4 linked regions of the Drosophila melanogaster genome follow. The gene in region 3 interacts genetically with the main gene of each other region. Each region holds a gene or a part of one and is shown on either strand. Other genes may lie near its edges.

What was found.
Region 1: of Dad (region 3) and Cln7, changing one suppresses a phenotype caused by changing the other (phenotypic suppression), as found in Drosophila melanogaster (one study listed by BioGRID).
Region 2: of Dad (region 3) and gbb, changing one suppresses a phenotype caused by changing the other (phenotypic suppression), as found in Drosophila melanogaster (one study listed by BioGRID).
Region 4: of Dad (region 3) and upd1, changing one enhances a phenotype caused by changing the other (phenotypic enhancement), as found in Drosophila melanogaster (one study listed by BioGRID).

Annotation. Positions count from the first base shown.
Region 1 is NT_037436.4:7,341,384-7,346,907, reverse strand, and holds Cln7 (Cln7), read left to right. Parts: upstream 1-1,724; 5' UTR 1,725-1,778; intron 1,779-2,523; exon of another isoform or gene 2,524-2,816; intron 2,817-2,962; 5' UTR 2,963-3,048; coding exon 3,049-3,240; intron 3,241-3,297; coding exon 3,298-3,804; intron 3,805-3,864; coding exon 3,865-4,016; intron 4,017-4,075; coding exon 4,076-4,672; intron 4,673-4,737; coding exon 4,738-4,930; 3' UTR 4,931-5,024; downstream 5,025-5,524. Other genes in the region: CG14834 (uncharacterized protein), read left to right, coding at 1-1,086; lark, read right to left, coding at 5,438-5,524.
Region 2 is NT_033778.4:23,849,972-23,853,817, reverse strand, and holds gbb (glass bottom boat), read right to left. Parts: upstream 2,257-3,846; 5' UTR 2,064-2,256; coding exon 696-2,063; 3' UTR 571-695; downstream 1-570. Other genes in the region: bgcn (benign gonial cell neoplasm), read left to right, coding at 1-68, 124-259; eIF6 (eukaryotic translation initiation factor 6), read left to right, coding at 3,746-3,846; ytr (yantar), read left to right, coding at 3,006-3,247. UniProt on the Drosophila melanogaster protein: Required for the growth of imaginal tissues and for patterning of the adult wing.
Region 3 is NT_033777.3:17,052,294-17,057,049, forward strand, and holds the start of Dad (daughters against dpp), read left to right. Parts: upstream 1-1,713; 5' UTR 1,714-2,069; intron 2,070-2,603; exon of another isoform or gene 2,604-2,742; 5' UTR 2,743-2,881; intron 2,882-4,756.
Region 4 is NC_004354.4:18,304,784-18,310,899, reverse strand, and holds upd1 (unpaired 1), read left to right. Parts: upstream 1-1,608; 5' UTR 1,609-2,091; intron 2,092-2,640; exon of another isoform or gene 2,641-3,163; 5' UTR 3,164-3,300; coding exon 3,301-3,657; intron 3,658-3,732; coding exon 3,733-3,882; intron 3,883-4,071; coding exon 4,072-4,806; 3' UTR 4,807-5,546; downstream 5,547-6,116.

The sequences.
Region 1 (5,524 bases), on a different chromosome or scaffold from region 3:
GCTAGTCGCAATGTGAATCCCCTGACGGAGTCGAAGCTCGAGAAGAATTGCAAGGCGCTGTGTGAGCATTGCGGCTGTTTGGGCTTCTACTGCGGCGAGGAGTGCCTGTGCGAGTGTAATGACGACCAATCCGATACTGAGTGCATTCGCACCATGCAGATGAATGCCAAGACGTTGAATCTACCATTCGAAATCGTCATCCAGGGACCGAGCAGCAATCGCTTTGTGCGCAACGCACAGCAGTTCGAGCAGAAGCGAGATCTGGTGGCCAGGAGCGCCAGCACTTCAATGCAGTCGCCTCGAAATCGTCGCTCAAACATAACCATCTACAAGCCCTCCACAAAGTTGGTCATTCAACGTACGGCCAATGGCTTAGAAACGCCATCCAAGGCTTCGGAGCAGATAAGGCACAAGAGGTCCGTCGATCACCTGGAGTGGTTCAATGACTTTGCCAGTTCCTTGGTGCGTCCCTCGCCACTGGGCACTAGAGCCCAGAAGCAGCAGCGTGCATCAGCCAAGCCATCGGCATTCAAGCGTCAGGCTGAGCTGGAGGAGCCGGCTCGTCGGGAACCATGGTTCCTGGAGCAGTCAGCTTCGCGACTGACTCGCCCCGCTCCACTTAAGAAGGATGCACTCTCGCGGAAGAACAAGAAGAGTCCTTTGTTCCGAAAGAGCGCCAAGAGCAAGGCGTCCAAGGAGCAGTCGCGCAAGCAACCGGAGCGAGAGATTCGGCCACTCCGCGATGCCTTGCAGGTGGTGGAGCGGATACCCAAGGTGCTTCAAGATACGGTCAGTCATCTGTCCTCCGATCCACGCACTGGGGATGTCTTTAGCCTGAATATTAGAAACGAGGATGTGCCGCAGAAAAAGGATCGCCAGCCTGAGGATCGTGTGCCACGCAGGCCTAGCGCCACCTTCCGTGGTTTCCGGCGCAATGAGATCATCCCCGAAGCCGTCACCCTGGCTGCCCCAATGGACCTTGCCCCACGAGCTCCACTTCCCGGCCAGCGTCCAGGTGGACTCCTGCTGCCCTGGCTGAGGCAGCGGCGACTGATGCGTTTGCAGCAGGCACAGGGAAATCTGTAGACCCAACATACCCAATTTACTTTCACTTTTATTATTATAATCATTTGTTGTATATTTATAAGGCATTTTGGTCTCTCAAAAATAAATATAAATTTGCACATTATAGTGTTCTGCAGTAGCAGCGAAGATAGAAGCGTTCGAAATTAAAGTATCTGAAGTAGTAAGATCTTTATGTACCTGTAACAATATGAAGGCGTTCTTAAAGATCGTTTTCCAATGAGTCATTATAGTATTCACACACGCAGGTAGAAGTTTGGTAGGTTAGACAGGTTTCTATAGAACTCCATTCTTCAGTTTCCCTATTATTTCAATTGGATCTCGAATCGAATCTCAAAGATACATCTATTCTACTGATGATCTAGTATAATAATGATAATTTGAAGAAGGAGTATTGGTGTTACATGGATTGTGGATTGATAACAAGTTACTATACTATGCTTAGGAATATTTTGCCTGAATAGAAAACCCTTGCGATCTATCTTACAGATGCCATAGATTTCGGAGTATCTAAGTAGCATACTTTCGGGCGCGGGTGCTATCTGCCGTTGGCTCCTCTCTCTCTTCGGGCAGCTCCATCACGCTCTGTGGCGACGCGTCGTCCGATTTGTTGGCAACAGGCGCTGCCGCGTCAGTTCAGTTCAGTCCGTCGCGTTCGTTCATCTCCAGTGGTCGTCGCTGTTCCGCTGCAACAGGTAGTTAAAAAGACATAGCCCGATTGGTAAAAGGTGCATTACCCGCTGGAAGCCCCACAAATAGGATGCGCGCGGTAGGGGGGTGCCCTTGAGTTCTAGATGCACAGAAAGATACATGCACGCAGATACAGATACAGATACAGATATAGCCATTGGCAGAGGGAGAAAAGCGCTTTCTTTGCGTTTGGTTAAATATTACAAAAATCGAGTGAGAGGAAGCGGGAGAGCGAGAGTGAGACAAAGAAAGAGTAATTTAAAAAAAAACAAAGAGTGCATGTTTCCATTTAATTTACATAGTTTTGCTTCAGTGTGTGACGAAAAACAAAATACAACTTAGTAAGCTAAGTAATTTGAAAATCAAAGCAAGGAGTGCAAAGGCAAAGTAGCTTAACGAAAAAAACAATAGGCAGCCAAAGATCAACGGTCGCTATCTCATATCTAGTATCTTGTATCTGAAAGATGTGTGTGTGTGTGTTTGGGTACTTCGAGAACGAGAATCTGGCGCTCAACTAAAAAAAAAAAGAAAAAAAAAAAACCAACTGCATCAATTGGCAATTGGTATAATCAATTAGAAATTGATTTGCGACGGAGTGATCTTCAACCAGTGATGATTTGATTGATGTAGGAAGTGGACAAGTCTGATTGATATGGCTAATCGCTGCACTTGTTGCACTATCGAAAACTAAAGTTATAACAAAATGTTTTTATTTCGTACCCTGTACTGGGGCGAATCAATTTCTTTTGCTCTGATAAATGAAATCATGTAATAAACTGACGTTCTGTACGAACCTTATCATGCCATATAAACAAAAACAATGGCATACTCACAGTGATAGTGGCTCTTACTAAAGAAAAACGACATACAGACACCCGCACATGGCAACGAATAACTACAAACAGCTTTATTTCGGCACCGATTGCCTTTATCTTCCGCAATTTGTGTGATAAGTTCAGCAAACTGTTTTCCATATCTGTGGTTTTTTCGGAGGAGGATAATCACGCGACGTCTGGCAGATAATCCACTCCATCCATATTCAAGTAATTGAAGGCACCGCCGATTAGAGACATACTCTACTCTGAATCATTAATAGTTACAAGACTTTAAAAGCGTGTCTAACAACTGACACATCGATTCACAAAAAGCTCCATAAAGAAAAAAAAAACTCATTCGAATCCATTTACAGAATGACTCAGTGGCGGTGAAATCCAGCAAACACACATCCATCGCAGCCAACCAACCCATCAAACATCACAGCCAAGCAAACCAATTATGGAGTTTGCCCGCCGAGTTTCCGCTCGCTTTGAAACCAAAAGACTGCCGGAGGATGTGGACGATGGCCTGGAGACGCTGGAGGAGTACAAGCAGCGCTGGCGCTCCGTCCGCATCATCTACTTTACGATGTTTCTGATGGCGCTTGGCTTCAGCATCATACTCACAGGCATTTGGCCCTACCTCAACAAGGTGCGTACCCATTTTGGTCACGCTATCCAGCTGCTTTTCAATCTCATCTCTCTTCAGCTAGATCCCGATGCGGGCAAGGAGTTTATGGGACTGATTGTGGCCGCCAATCCGCTGGGACAAATGATCTTCAGTCCGATCTTTGGGTGGTGGGGCAACAAGCTGGGCAAGATTCGTCTGCCACTGCTGCTATCGCTGTCTCTATTCACGCTGGCCAGTGGCATATACTCCTCGCTGGAACTGCGTCCGGACAATGTGAAGTACTGGATGCTCTCCTCGCGGTTCCTCATCGGTGTCAGCTCGGCGAATATTGCCCTGTGCCGCTCCTATTTGTCCGCTGCGACACGAATCAGCGAACGCACACATGCCGTTGCAATGGTTTCGCTGGCACAGGTCCTTGGATTCATCATTGGTCCAACTCTGCAGGCGGCAGTCACACCGCTGGGAGATCAGGGACACGTCTGGCTGTGGGGCAAGATGCACTTCAACATGTACACGGCATCCGGATGGATCAATGTGCTGATGAGCATTGGAAACTTCATGATGTTCCTGCCCGGAGTGTTTGAGGTGAGTGGCCAGGTTACTTGGTTCGCTCTAAAGTGTCATTAAATTTGAACACTCCTTCAGGAGCACAAAATTGCAGCTCGCGAGGTGATGGTGATGCAGGGCGGCACATCCGAGAAGGAGACTTGGAAAGGCATCAAGCCCAGCTATTTATCCGCATGGACTTTGATCGTCGCCTTCTTTGTTCTGGTATTCAACTTTGTGCTGTTGGAGACGTGAGTAATCCTCAGAGTGGGTTTTTTTTTTTTTAAACTATTGCTTCCTCGCCTTGCAGTCTGGGCACATCCCTGACAATGGATATGTTCGCTTGGTCCAACGACGAGGCCCTATGGTACATGGGCATCATGATGACCACCGCAGCTATTGTCTCCCTGGTCACGTTCGTTTTGATTGAGCCCATGTGCAAGATTATAGCCGAGCGTTATGTGCTCATCTGGGGCGGATTCTCGCTGATGTTTCTCGGTCGCGTGCTCTTCGTGCCTTGGGGTCCGGATCCGCCAAAGTTGGCGCAGCCATTCAATGCCAGCTGGAACCTAAGCGAAAGCGATCCCATCTTCTTGGGCTGCCCCACAACGCAGAAATGGTGCGGCGAACTGCCGGCCTTGACCTTAACGCAGTTCATCATTGGATTTGCCTTCACATCGATAGGATATCCCATTGGGGTGACTCTCATCCAGACCATATTCTCCAAAGTTCTGGGACCTCGGCCGCAGGGCGTCTGGATGGGCTGGATGACCGGTTCGGGTTGTCTGTCCCGCGTCCTTGGTCCAGTCTTCGTGGGATCCATCTACACGCGCCTAGGTACGTTCTGGACCTTCGGCGTTACTTCGGCCATGATGCTGGTCTCCATGTTTTGGCTACAGTGCAGCAAGTAAGCTGAAATACTATTCGTTTTTAAGGCGGTTCCCCACAATAAATAACATGTTATCTTTTCAGTCGATTACTAATCCCGCCAACATTCGAAAAGACCACACCTGTCGAGCTGAAAGAACTGAACAAGCACAATGGTAGCAAGCTGCTGGACGACCACTCACCGGACACGCACAATGGTAGCCCACCGGAAGATCTGTCTCCTGATCAGCCCATTTTGGGCAAGCACGGCAGCCAGCACTCGATTTCACATGCGTAACGACGGCTGGCTATGGAGCATCCGTAGATCTAAGACACATCGTTGCAATACTGCCCCTTAAACTAGCTTTAAAATACAGTGTTTATTTTTGCACAGTTTCGACTGATTATGCGTTTATTGGTACTACGGTTGAATGTGTAGAGGTTGCACGTCGTTGTCTAGTTCTTTTTTTTTTTTGGCGTGTTTTGCATATAGGGAGGATGCTTAAACACGTATTTCCATCTTCTTGTTTAAGTGTACGAGTAATGGTTAGTTTGGGTTTAGTAACATGTATGTGGTTTACCAAGGCGGCAGCCACAGTTGTGAAATTGTCGTCGGCATCAGCATGTGCTGCTGGTGTGCTTGGTGGTGATGGTAGTAGGCCGCCGCTGGCGACCAGCAGAGCAGCCAGCAGTCCACAGGCGCCGTTCTTCGATTGCTGGTCGTGTGGTAGAATGTGTGACCCATTGGCAGGGGCATGGGTAGTGCAACCGCTACTCAGCTGCTGCCGTGATAGTAAAACTCATCTCAGTAGGGCGCATATCTGCGACCCGGCGGCGATGGACCGCGCATTCCGCGCGACGAAATCATGCGTTCGTCGAATGCATCGCGACT
Region 2 (3,846 bases), on a different chromosome or scaffold from region 3:
AAATTCGTCAATGGTGTATTTATGTTGCAGGAATACTTCCGAAACAACATTCCGGTGTTTGAAATCTTGTAAGTGCAATCCAAGTTGCGGAGAATACTCCAGTCTAATGTGCTCTCCTTTCAGAGATGCGTGTGTGTCGTTGAATGTGCAGACACCGGTGTTTGATGGCCGCCTGATGTCGGCGCTAATTGACAAGCGTGTCGGCAACTTGATTATGGAATTGTTTGCCTTCCGCCACCACTGGATTCACAAGCGATAAAGCCCGCTTCCTCGCGCATATTGCCTGCTTCCCTACTAATTGAGTCCTAAAATAATTAAGAATGATCCAAAGAAGCGTGCCGAAGTCCAAATAGGACTTGATTGTGCCTTTTATTGCTGTGAAATGACTGTTAATTTTAAATGAGAGCTAACCAGAATCAAAATACGTACTTTTAGTACCACATTGCGTCTATCATCGTTGTTTTGAAATATTTGAAATTTGTGCATCCCAATCATGAGTAGATGTGAGACAATAAAGAAGAAGTATCTTTTAATACTAGCCACAAATGAAACTCCTCAAGAGACGAACTTCAGTTAGGTACAGCGCTGTATATTTTTGTATAAAAATATTCGAGATTAGTACAGAGATGGACATCTACACAGAAATGCTTTATATATATAGTGCTATAGTGCTTAGCCTAAGTGGTAAATTGAATTCAATGGCACCCGCAGGATTTCACAATCATGTTTCTATACTTTTTCAGGTTCACATTCTCGTCGTTCAGGTGGTACAGAACGGGTAGTGCTCCCAGCCTGGTCGGAGCGCAGCAGGGCTTGGGCACCTTCTTCGGCTCCAGCAGGTGGACCAGGGTCTGGACGATCGCATGGTTCGTGGCGTTCATGTGCGCATTGAGCGGGAAATTGCACTCGCCGCTGCAGTAGAAGGCGCCATAGCCCTCTGGTGCGATGATCCAGTCATGCCAGCCCAGATCCTTGAAGTCTATGTACAGGGTCTGCATCTGGCAGCTGCGCGTGCTCTCCATCGGTTCCAGCAGCGGCACGTTGTTGGGCGACACCGACTTCTTGCGCTTGCGTGGATGGCTGGCGCTTCGCTTGCTCCTGTGGTGGCTGCTGTGGGCCGTCGCCTTGATCAGCTCCGGTCCGCGGAAGAAGCCGATCATGAAGGGCTGGAACTCGTCGTCCACCTTGCGGTGGATCAGTCCAATGTCGTCCAGCTTCACCTCGCGGTCGGGTCGGTTGACAGCGTGTGCTCCAATGTAGATGCCATGATTGTCCTTCGACTTGACCAGCCACTCGTGCAGGCCCTCGGTCACGTTGAGCTCCAACCAGCCCACGTAGTCCCCGGTGGTGTTCACCGAGGACAGCGGCTCCATGGTGTGCTGGCCCAGCGTGCCGGTGCCAATGGCGTATACCGTGATGGTGAACTCCCTGTTGGCGGTCAGCCACTTGCCCTCGTTGGCGTTCTGATAGATGCGCAGCTCGGCCATCACCAGGTAGTTGTCGTTGGGCACGTTGGAGACGTCGAACCACAGGCGACGGCCGTGCTCGTGACGCAGTTCGTCCACATTGTGGTGGCGCTTGTTCAGGAAGGTCATGATGATGTCGCTCTCGTCGATGGCCCGCTTGTCCAGGTCGGTGATGAAGTTCTTCTGCTGCTCGCCCTCATCCTCCTCGAGGTCGGCGCTCCTCCTGGACCGATGGCCGCGTTCGTAGTCGTCGTCCTCATCCTGATCGCTGAGACCCTCCTCCGCCGTGATGCGGTGGTAGACGTCCAGCAGGAACTTGGGAGCCGACTTCCTCAGCGACAACTGGTGGCTGCTCAGGTGCGTCGGCCGTTCGGCGATGCCCAGGAACTCGAGGATCTCGTACGAGACGTCCAGCTTGTCGTCCTCGCTCAGCACTCTGTGCATGATCGTCTGGTCCTTGCCGTTGTCTATGTAAATCCCCGACTGGGTGGCCTCAACGGCCGGCGGCGTGGTCGCCACGAACATGAGCAGAACCATTCCGAGTCCCAGGGAGGCGAGCACTGCAACGGCCTCCGAGGTGTTTCGCAGTCCCGACATTATTTCGTGTTTTGGACGGATCGGTTGCGATCGCTGTTTTTCTATATCTACGGCGCTATCCACTTGCGATAGCTTCAGATGTACAGTGGCATTTAGTTGTTTATTTCGAGAGTTCCAGCGAACCGCGGGTTCTGAAAATTCTGACGCACTTACGGATTGTTGTGTGTATCTTAATCTTCAAGATGCATTTTCTTTCTATTTCGCGGGAGTTGGCAGTCCCGCGACTTGGAAAATGAATCGGTCTTGAAGATCGAACTAGAAGATCCAACATAGTAGTTCATTTCAGCTGCGATCGTGAGCAAATATGTGGTTTAATAGCTTCAAAAAAAAAAAGAAGAAACTGTGTAAATGTAGAAAATATAACGTTTATATTGGCAAAGTTCGTAATATTTTGATATTTTAAACTATTTATGGAAGTGGTATTGACGAAAGATTTGTAATTATGAATTTGTTAAATTTATCATAGTCCGGGCATAATTTGAAATATAATATAGGTAATGCTATTAAAAAATATTAATTAATATATATACATAGTTCATATTCAAAAGGAAACAGATCGATTTAAACATTCGGTATGCGATATACATAGGATACATTTTTATCGAAGATAAAATCGACCATCAATCGATATCCGATAGGTGGCCATGTTTTGCCCTTGCATCGCATCCCTCGCATCATCATCCGCATTCTGCATTCCTCATTCCGTTTCGGCGTCGCGGCGAGATAACGCGCGTTGTTTATTTGGTTTTAGTTTTAAGTTAGCGCGTTTTTACCCACCGCCGGTGTCGCCCAAATAATGCTAGACACAGCCTAGTGCAACGGTAAGCGGGATGCGTGCGGTGCAATTGGAGTACATGGAGTCTAACATCCGCTCAAATCCACTGCAGGCAAACCATCATCAATCACTCAAACCGCCACACAAGCAGAGACCGAAACGGAGCCATGGGCCGCAGCCGAAGTCCCGCCTCGCCGGCGCACAGGAGACGCGAGAAGGAGCGATCCGAGCGGAAGAAGCGCAGGGAGCGCCGTTCCCGGGAGCGGGAGGCCATCGGAGTAGCGCCAGCCGGAGGATCCGGATCTGGAGGCGCCGGTCGCCGCGACCGGGAACGGGATCGCGACCGCAGTCGCAGCCGAGATCGGGAGCGGGAACGGGAGCGCGACCGTGCGCGGAGTCGGCGATCTAGGTGAATAAGAAAGTGTAGTGTACCAAATGCCAACCACGATAAGTATAAAACTAGTCACTAAAATCGGGGATGTGGGTCACAGTTCAGGGGCGTGCTGGATAACCGTGAAATGGGGTTTAAATAGCAACCAATATTTATAAGTTTAGGATAAGCTTAGGGAGTGTTTGTGTAGATTTAGGAACACATTCCAACACAGGGGACAATTGACCCCTCAAACCCCCGAAATCGCCGTTCAGAACTTGTTTATTTACCCACGAGTATCGATAGACCCACACTTCGATAGGCAGCCAATCGATGGCTATGCAGCTCTGGCGTCCCAACATCAAAAAAAAATTACCACGTGAAGCGAAATTGTGCGAATTTCATCACGACATTTAAATTGATTTCCGGACATATAAACAGAATCCAGAACTCATCCGGCAGCAGGCTCAGTCAGGCCAGTAAATCCGAAAAGAGAGTAACCAGCAGGAAAAGAGGATCCACGTAAATACAGAGAAAATGGCTCTACGCGTCCAATTCGAGAACAACGACGACATCGGCGTCTTCACTAAACTAACCAACACATACTGCCTGGTGGCCATCGGTGGATCCGAGACCTT
Region 3 (4,756 bases):
TTTAATATATACATTCGAAATACCTTTTTCCCAATATTATGCTTAAGAGCAATTGGCTTAGTAGAGTTGCAATATTTTTATATTCTAAGAAAAGGGTTAACCATAACAAAGGCACTGCTGAATAATTGAGGCCCTTTAAATAAGATGCTTTGTGGGACGCTACTCCTCGCTGTCGTATTATTTGTTTAGCATTTGCGGAATGTCTCTGGCCTCATAAGAAAATAATGTATTCAAACTCCTGCCGCCGTCCTTTCCGGAGTTAATACCCATGCCCCTCCACGGGGCAAGTCAGGGGCCCGACTCTCGCTTATTTAACGCTCACGACGCGATCAAATTCCTCCTGCCAACATCGCCGGTTGCCGGTTTCACTCCACAAGTGGCCTGTGTTCCCTGTTCCCGACCTATTATTATCGTAATGACGGGAGCCTATTTGCTTTTGTGTTTTCGAGTCGTCCAAACGAGAGACAATTATGTATTTCTACTGGAACTGACGAACCAGGGTTCCTGTTGGAGCGTCTGCTTGGCACTGTGAAAAATCTGGACGTGATCTTGTGTTCCTTACACGTTTAAGTAATACCGGTTTTAAATTACAATAAACTACAATAACTAAATTCGACGTTGCCACTGTATTGCACTGTACTGTATGTCATAGATGAACTAAAGGTAAACTTATATTTATTATTATTTAGAGAATTAGTTATAGTAATAACGACTGTAAAAAATTTTAGCATAGATAATTCCATCGACTTTTCTCGCAGTGCGGTATGCGATCCTCGCTGCGCGCTTTAAGTGTGTTTCTGTGTGTGTAGGGCCGCTGCAGGGGCGCCACTTTGTATGGGCGTGTGTGCGTCCGTGTGTTTGGCAGACATGGGCAAGGCAATGCAACTGATATGCCCTTGATCACAACCATTCATCACATTTTGCGGCAACCAAGACCGCGCTAAATGTCGATGTTGCTTCCTCAGGTTCTCCGCTCTCGACAGCATCGAGGGAGTTGAGTTTTTTGGCAACTTCAACAGACGTATTTAACAGGGGCTAATATGTACTGAGAGTTTTTAATTTGATTCGAATTAATTAAACCTTGTATGCCTTTTAAGCATTTACCTTTTAAGACATCTTAAATAAAATTTTAAGGTACATTAATCTTTTTTTAACTTAAATTATAAAATGCTCATACTGAACACGGCTTTTCAATTATAAACATATAGTTATAGATTTCTCCTATATTATAGGACAGCTTAGTATTTCCCACATAATTTGTCTAGGAAAACTTATCAATTTTTGAAATTACCGCGTTAGCCAACACTATTTCCAACGGCACTGCCAGCATGAAGCGAGTGTGGGTGTGCGTGCGCAGGTTGTATCTGTCCGCGGAAGCGAAACGAAACTCACCACGCCATAGTAGCCATCCAACGGATGCTCTCCACTCTCAGATGTCTTGGATTCTTTGGTTTAGCACTTGTAGTAGGAATGGGAATGTGAAAAATATGAAGATATTTTAACAAGTCTTTTCTAATTAATAATAAAACTGAAGTTCTTATACATTGTTAGAACGGGAACTTTATGTATGATTCTAATTTTACAATTTCTTGGTCTCTTAATTTTTCTCTCTCTCTCTAAACCTCCCTCTCCCAGGCGCTCTCTCAGGCGTTTCTCCCACGTTTATTCCCCACAGCTCCAAAGACTATCAATCCGCACAGTTAGCGCTTCGCTCATTGCCCCAACAATTTTCAACCGCGTCGCTTGTGTGTTCTTTTGCCGTTCGAGAAATCCAAATCCGAAAGATATCAACGAAAAGATGGATACTTGACGTATTGCCACGAGAAATTTTCCGAAATAACGTTATTTGTGTTCGAGACTGCTAAATGATTTTTGGGTTAATTAAATGACAAAAAAACGCAGTTCCTAAATATCGGACTTTTTCGCCTTTCCCCGACTCTTTTTTCGCAACATTTACGGGTTTTGTTTTTGTTGTTGTAAACGCGGGCGTCGTAAACAACAAACAAGTGCAGTGAAGTTGTTGTGCGCTCTAGAACTGAAATGTGAAGGAGGAAATACATAGAAAAAGTGTGAGTGCAGCAGGCAAATCAATTGAAGTGAGAATCGAAGGGGATTGGAAATCGTCAGGCGAAAATCTTTTATTTTTGCTGCTTGCTGTTATGAATTCTATGCATTTGTTTGTGTTTGTGTGTGCAAAGAAAGAGCGAGAATTCTCCGCCCGGATAACGGATCTTCGATCTCGTTTGCGTGCGTGTGTTTTGTGGTTGTGTTCGTGTGCGAATTAAAAATCAATGAGCATCGGGGGGAAAATGCGGGCCAAATAATAAGTGTGTTCAAGCTTTAACTGAGCAAATAACAGCAAGAAAAGAAATGCAATTGTTCGCCAGCCACGTACACACATTGTACCTGCACTGGCCCATACAAACAAACAAACGTATACGTATATAGCGGTGGTAGCGACGCCGGCAGAATCAAAGCAGAGCGCAAATCGCAAGCCAACAAAAAACACCTTTTCCACCACGTTAAAAATTGTTATTGTTTTCCGGCATTCGGCTACTTCAACATAATATTCAACCGAAATCAACACATTACTCGCACCTTATTAAATCCACACAAACGTACACATGCATAGGAAAAAGTGACTGACCAGCAGCAAAAAAAGAAAAAATCGACTGCGGTTACCAATCCAATAACAAAAACCCGTCGGCACGTGTTAAACAAATTCAAATTCGTTGCTAATAGTTTGTTTCTTCTGCAGTAAATGTAAATACAAATTATCAAGTGAACCTCTAAACATATCAAATACACCTACACATATCAAAAAGTAATACTACATAAGGAAAGGATTAAACGGAAACCACCTAACAAAAAATTTTAAACAGTAAGTACCTATTTCCACTCCTTAGAACTCAAAATCAAGCCGATTTGAAGAGGTGCACTCGTGATTATGCAAAATAGCTAAGTCAACAAACAAATGCTTATCACTCATTAGCGTTATTTAAGTTTTCATATTCAATATTTTCTGATGCGGTTTCGAAGATAATTTTATATTTTATATAATACCGAGTCGCGAATATCTGTTACCAAATCGCTATAGTTTCCAATTGGACTTACAATTACTCATGCTTTCATTATCAGAAAGTCCATAACTACGTATGTATATATAAATATACATATAAATTTGTAAACGTGAATTTGGAAAAAATAATCACTCAGCGGGTTTGAATAAAAATTCTTGAGTATAGACTGTTTTCAATTGATTGTTAAATGTGCGATATATGGCTTTTGAAGTGTTGATGTGCAATTTTTTTTTTTTGTATTGGACTTGCTCTAAATACTGAATTTTATGAACGTAAACAGCTCTCTCTATTGTTCACTGGATTACACATCTTTCATAGTTTTAAATGTGGAAGGGTTTTTGTTCCGGCTGACTCAAGATTGGTAAATATTTGAAAGCAAAAGTACGGTGGTATCAATTACTTTGCAATTTTGAAGCTAAAAACTGTGGTGCATACATCGCACATCATAAATAATTTTAGATGTATGTCCATATGTAAATAATTTATTTCTGTCGCTTTCGCATTGCATTTTTTATTATTGACAAATATTAATCGTGCAGTTATACGGTTTATGTGGAGGGAATGAAGGATCTTATAAATTGATTCCTATTATTAATTATGTTTCTGTTCTTGACAAAATAAGTAAAGTCCTAAGATTGGTCTCATAAGATAATGCTACTGTTTAAAACATACCTTTTTTTGTTTCCGATTGAAAAACTCAGATGCATTCTGATAAGTTCTAATTCAAAGCTAGACTTTAAGAACGCTAAGTTCTCGACTTGATGACTTTTCAGAAGAGTTTCGAGAGCGCCTTCAATTCTAATTCCCACCACACTCGCACTCTCTGGTGGTACGTACTCTTTTGAACCACGGCTGCGGTAGATTATTTCATACTCACCTCAACCTTAAATTGTTGATTCTTCAACTTGTCAAACCGGCTGACAAACCGACCGTCGCGTCGCTCGTCCCTGTCCGTGTGTCTGTCTAAGGTGAGCGTGTGTTGGTGTGGCGCCATTCCGACGACGCCTCTGCCGCCGACATCGTTACTATTATTTCTTTTATTACGTCAGTGGCGCCAGGCATTTCCCTCTCGCTCGCACGCCCGCCGCCCTGCCTTTTTTTTACTCTGCACGCAAGCATTCTGTATGTATGAGTGAGCGAGAGAGCGCGAGTGTGTTTGATGCGGTGTGTTGGTGTTGGTGAGCGTGCTTGTGGGGCTGACTCGTAATTTTGTTGCTGTTCGTCGCTGCTGTGCTGTTTTTTATGTTGTTGCCGTCATGCCGGCGGCGCCACTTTTGTCGTCGATAAGGAGCGCAAGAAATGCCAGCAACAAAATGGAAATAGTCGCATGGGCCACACACATACACAAACACAAGCGTATTTGGGCTGTTAATTTGCGGCGCTCTCCCGTTCGTTCCCCCTTACCAATCGTTCCCCCTTACCAATCGTTCCCCCCCACCATCGTCCGTCTCTTTCTCGCTGACAGCTGATGCTGCCGCACAGATCTTTGCATATGCACTGGCGTCGGCTGTCCGTTGGTGAAAGAGGGCGGGGAGGGGGTATTACTCACTCAAGCGATCCACCACTAGATTCCTTGCCTGCCACCAGGGGCGTAGTCTGGAAATCGAAAACGGGGAATGTAGCCTTTTTATAGGAAATGTGGCACATTCAAACAACACTACGCTCATTATTGATTT
Region 4 (6,116 bases), on a different chromosome or scaffold from region 3:
TATATGCGAGCGAGTCCCTCTCTGTGGGTTGTGGGTCCTGCGAGATTCGAGTCCTGTGCGTCCGTCCTGCCTTGCGGCGAAATAAAGGCGAGTGGCCCCGCTGCGCAACACAACTGCTTCCTGCAGCAGTTGCTGCACGCTGCACTTACGGTTAGACGCAAGGACACACCGTCCGCTGTCCGTTTCGGCCCGCTATCTGACCATCTACAGCTGTTTTCGGCTGCCCAAAACAATGCGGCCATAATGCAGCAAAACTCTCAATTTAATTAGACCGTCAATTGTGCAAGCCCTCGAAAGTAGGGAGAAATATGGGCATATTTGACATAGGGATGTCCTAGGTAGATGGGCGTCCGGGGGTTCGCCAGTTGGGAGTACCTGGCCCACTGGCCAGAGATTTCACACTCTTCTTCTAGTTACCCACCCAAAGCGGAATTGCGACAATATCAAGCCGAACTCATCGAGATGGTCAAATATCAGCGCTGCGATTATCAAAATAAATAATTTGAGGTGAGTTATAAATGTATCAAAAAATGATGAAACAACTTAATGTTTTACGATTTTTATGTAAATCTTTATTAATTAATTACCCATACGAACAGATTTAGGCATATATATGTATATTATTAACTTCATTTAAACAACTTGAATCATGTCAAATGAATTTGAATGGTATATACATATATAATAGATTGTGAGTGCCAAAATCACTACTTCAGTTATATTGATTGTGGTTCGAACACGTATAAATAATATTACTATAAAAATGTATATATTATGTATTATTATATATATTACTACTGGTATTGAGAAGAATTGTAACTGCACAATTGGTTGATTCCTTAGTGCTTTATCCTATTTTACGCTTTATTCCTTATAATTACTAAATTAATTTTAATATACAAAATATATAGCAATTTACTAGTTGTTAGAAAAAGTTGAAGAAAATGTAATATTGGTTAACGTTCCTCGTGGATAGTTCTCGAATGGATAGTTTACCTGGATTAGCGAGCTGAATAGCGGTGTTATGTTGGTCATTTCCGTTGATCACTTTCTAGACCGATTTGAATGTCAGGACTTTTTGGGAGGGGTGAGCAGGCCGCTCAAGGTCACCCAGAGAGTTTGAGAGAGGGAGAGAGAGAGAGGACCTAGCTGACCGGGCTTAGAAGAGTGAGACAGAGCCAGGTAGGCCTGGTCTTTTGGGGCACCAGGTAGGCTGCCTCTCTTCTTTTCCCGCTCTTTGAGTGAGTGACGCGGATTGGGCAAGTGGGAAAATTCCAGTTGCAATGGCGACCGGCCCAAGATCGCCCTGGTCCGCAGGAGCGAGCGGGATGGCGCGCGAGGACAGCCGGTTGGCAGGCTCAAAGACGGCACCAATACACACTTCGGCCAGGTAGGCGCATACGCACACACGTGCAGGTGACCTGGGAATAGGATACCCCGAATACGATCGGTGAGAGCGGGCGCGGGAGCGGGACAGCCTGCGGTTCTTCGGATCTGAATCTGATCGGTCCGAATCGGCGGTCTTCTTCTGGCTCGGACCATGGCGTACCGCTCGTCGGCACTCGGCGGGCAGCGACGCCGGCAGAGGCCGCTCAGCTCGCCTCAGTTCCCATTTCAGTTTCGGTTTCGGCCTTTTGGCGCTGCTCATCGGTCGGTCGGTTGGTCGGTGGTCGGTCGGTATCGCTCTGGTATTCTGGTATCTGGTATCCGCAGCCTCTCAGCGAAGAAAGCTGGTCAAATCCAGCGCGACTTTGGGCTCAGTTCGGTTTCACACTCGAACGCGAGCAGAAGTGTCCGCGAATCAGTCTCCAAAGCATCGAAATCACCAAATCAGAACACAAACTGAAGCACGGATTTGAACTCGATCTGTGGTCAAGTGGTCTCACAAATATTATATATAAATACATTTTTTTGCGAGTGTTGTGCTGCAAGTGTGTCCATTGAAAACCGCCGGAAAATCAACGAACAACGAATCTCGAACGATCATCGAACATTTGGATTAACGTACAGACTTTTGGGAGCTCAGGCGCAGCACAAACCACGGGGATCCCGCGAGGATCCTGAACGATTCCATTTTTCATCTATAATGCGGTGTGTGTATTATTTTTAATTTGATCAAGACTTAAGAGCAGGCACAATTGGAGAGTGGAGAAGCGATCGAAAAGGATATTTTGGTCAATATCAATTCTCCACTCTTCAAGTGACTTATCAACAAGAAACGACCAACGATCTACTGTTAAGCAAAAAGGACATTCTGTGACAGCAACTGCAATTTTGGGAATTAGGATTAAATTATATAGTTTAATTAATTCGCTCTGCATTAAAATGCAAATCCATTCAGGATATTGTTACTTGTGCGAATCCTTTCCGTTCGTTTTTAGCAGCAAACGATCTTCAGTCTCGAATTTTAATCCTGTCAGATAAAGTAGCTAACTTGAATGGAGAATTTGAAATGTTCAAATTTTAGAATTAGCCCCAAATCCAAAATTCAACCTCAAAAGTTTCCATACACTTTCACACACTGGAAGTTAAAGCCAAGCCAAGCCAGAAGGCAGAGATTTGTCGCCTGGAGAAGATTAGATCCTCGAAACTTGGATCGATACGTCTTCGTTATTCGCTCAGGCTACTCTCGAGTTAATTGTCTAAATTAAAAAGTTTCCCCGCCCTCAATATACACACATATCGCTCTGGAAAAGACAAAAAAAAAAAAACAACGAAAAGCAAAAAAAACCGCAAAACAAACATAGAGAAAATGTTAAAAAAATCGAACCAAATTGTTGAGACTGTTGTCTGGTTGCAGTTGCATTCGCATTGAAGGAGGCTCGGCCGATCATCCGACCCGTAATCCCGATCACCTCAGAGCTCCAGCATCGAAGCACCCGACCACCCAATCCCACCCAGTAACCCATCCACTCCCAAGGGAGTCCAGTTAGTTAACCATCTAGTCAGGGAGGAACAGTGATAGCAGTTGATCGTTGGTCGTCGCGCGTTGTAGCAGAAAATTGAATTTACTTTTGCATTCTCGATACTCATAGTGTTTTTTCTCCACATCTCTTCCCTTCTGACCCCCCATCCCCACCCTTCACATATATCCTATATATATATATTGTAACCCCGTTCGCTGTATCTGCACACTGATTTCGATACGGACCGCGGACAGTAGTTGGTTGGCAGTGCGCTGCGACCACAGCTAAAAACAGCACCACGGCAGCCGGCAACGGAAACGGAAACATCAGCGGAAGCGGTAGCGGTAGCGGTAACGGATTCCGGCGCAGAAGAGAAAGTGGCTACCATGCGGCGATGGCTCGTCCGCTGCTCCTGCTCCTGCCCATCCTACTCGTCCTGCTCCTTGCCGCCCAGTTGCCCCACCTCGCCGAGGGGCGCAGCACCACCAGCAGCGGCGGTCTAACGGTTATCGATAGCGAGCGCCTGCGCATTCGCACCACCTCCAGTACGGCTTCAGCTCAGCATCCCAATCAGGGCACGATCCCTGCCAGCGCCGCTAGTCCGCGCAAGCGCCACAGAAAGCGGAACAGCAACTGGATCGACTATCGCAACTTCGACGAGAACACCACCGCCCTGGAGTGGGCCAATCCCTGCGGTGGCAACTATCATCCCTCGGCGGGTGATCGCTTCAATCGCCAGCGTCCCAGGCAGGTGAGTTCAAACGGCAGCGCTCTTTGGACCCGATCCATATGTAATCCGCTCCCCATTTTATCTGCTTCTCCACAGAGCTTCAATCAGCTGAAGCGCCACGCCTTTCGGGAGTACCGCAGCCTAAACAGTAGCCAGGACTCGGCCATAGATATCCGCAACATGACCATGTGGTCCCTCCACACGCACAACTACAAGTTCCTGCCCAAGCTCAAGCCCAATTCCACGGTAAGCAATCCTACAGTCATACTTTTTATCTATTAACTTAGTTGTCAAAACTAGTTACTAAATCCATCTCGTTATCAACTTTGTATCTATGTATCTTGAAAATAGCTCAATTATCTCGTTATCAACTTTGTATCTATGTATCTTGAAAATAGCTCACAATTGTCTCCATCTTTTTGATTTCTTCCACAGATTGCCCTAAAGCGCTGGTACCGCAACATGCAAACTTACGTGGCCAGCTTTGCGTATCTGAGGCGCCAGCAGATCCGCTGGGATCAGCGGTCCATCACCCGCGAGTCCAGCACCGCCCGCGAGCTGCGCGAGCTGCTCCTGAGCTCGCGGCGCATCCTCTGCGAGCTGGAGACAGCCGTCAACCAGACGCAGAGTCCGCGCCAGAAGCAGCGGCGCAGTGGTGCGGCGGTCACAGCAGTTGGCGGCACCACCATGCTGGGTCAGCAGCTGCCACAGATCTCGCGTCTCGAGATGAACAAGCGTTTGAAGCTGCGCTCCAAGACGAGTGGGCCCGGTATGGGTGGTGCTGCTTCCAGTGCATCCATGGCGGCGGGCGAGGCGGACTCGATCGATATGCGCTTTGTGAAGCACCACTACTACGACTTTTTGCGCACCATGTACCAGCTGCTGCGGCGGGATGGCAAGCGGGTAAGGAGTCGGCCACGGAAGCACCACAAGAAGCAGCAGAGGAGCCAGAAAAAGTTGCTACAGCAGCAGCAGCAGCTGGCGGATCAACTGGAGCAGCGTTGGCGCAGCTCCACCTTGAATGGCAAGGAGTTCAACGAGGTATCCAAGCCAGTGGCCGGTGGTGCTGCTGGAGTTGCAGATGTTGCAGGTGTTTCCGGTGGTGGAAGCAACCAATTTGCACGTGGCAGACGTGGAAAGCGCCAGTCGAAGCGCGTGCAGCGCACGTGAAATAGCATACACAACATTCCCATATCTTTCCATTTCCCCTTACCTCAGGACTCGCCCCTTTCCTCTGTTCTACAAACCCCTAGCCTCAAATCCTTAATTTAACCGTTAATTGATCGATAGTAGCTTAAGTAAATTATTTGATTGACAGCACATAGTCTCTGTTCTCGAATTCATTGCAAGTATTACCACATTCCGTATTTATTGACATTCGTCGAGAGTGAGAGAGAGGGAGAGAGAGAGAAATAGAGAGAGAGATATAGTTATATAGCATACGAAACCACAATCTGCAGTTGCCGTTCTAGTCACATAAGAGCAACCGCCAACCACCACCCACTGGAAAGTATTATTCGCCACGCCCGCTTTGTAGCCCATTCCGCACCCGCATCGAGTACTATGTGACCCCCAGTAGGCTAAGCTAACCCATGGCATTCATGATCATAATTCCATATCCATATCCTTTAGGCTAAACTTTGATCCTAAGGCACACACACACACATTTTTTTTTTTTCGTAGGCTAGCTTGTGTTTCGACATCTGTGATATAGTGCTTGACTAGTTCGTATTTAACCTAATTGTACATATATATTATATATAGATCGCATTGGGGTGGCATGTGGCCGCATCCATGCCTTCGTAGTCCTAAGCTCGCCCTTAGAAATCGATTTTCGTATTTATAGAACCGACCGACATATGACTAAGCCAGCAGCGGAATAAAGCGAACAATAAACTGAATTGAATTTGAAAATAAATCTGGATTGCATTTCATTTTTGGGAATAAATGGTATACATATATCCATTTGGATATACTTAAATTTATGATGGAAAAGAACTTCGTACTTCCCATTTTGAGGTTCAACGTTTTTATCTTATATTTCAAAATTGAAATACCCGAATATCGAATTCAATTCTATATATTTTTATATCTTTTACCATCAAAAACCTATCAACCAACCTATCTTATGTGGCCAACACTTTCGCGTACATTGAATCCCTATACCTGGGGGAGTCAATTACTCCAATTCCCTTGACCCACTTTCTGCGGATTCGCTTTCTGCTGCGCCTTGGATGCGTCTTTATGGCTCCTCCATGGGTCATGGGTTTTATGATCTCCAGCGGCGTCAAACTATTAGCACGTCAGGCTCCCAGTTCCCCTCGATACCGAAACCGATCCCGATCCCGATTCCGATTCCGATCCCCACCTGCTTGTCTACCTGTGCCCAGAAACCCAGAGGAAATGAATGGACTGTGATCAATGGAACCACTCAATGAAAGTTCGCGCCAAGTGCATCAGAACTACATATACTCGTAAAG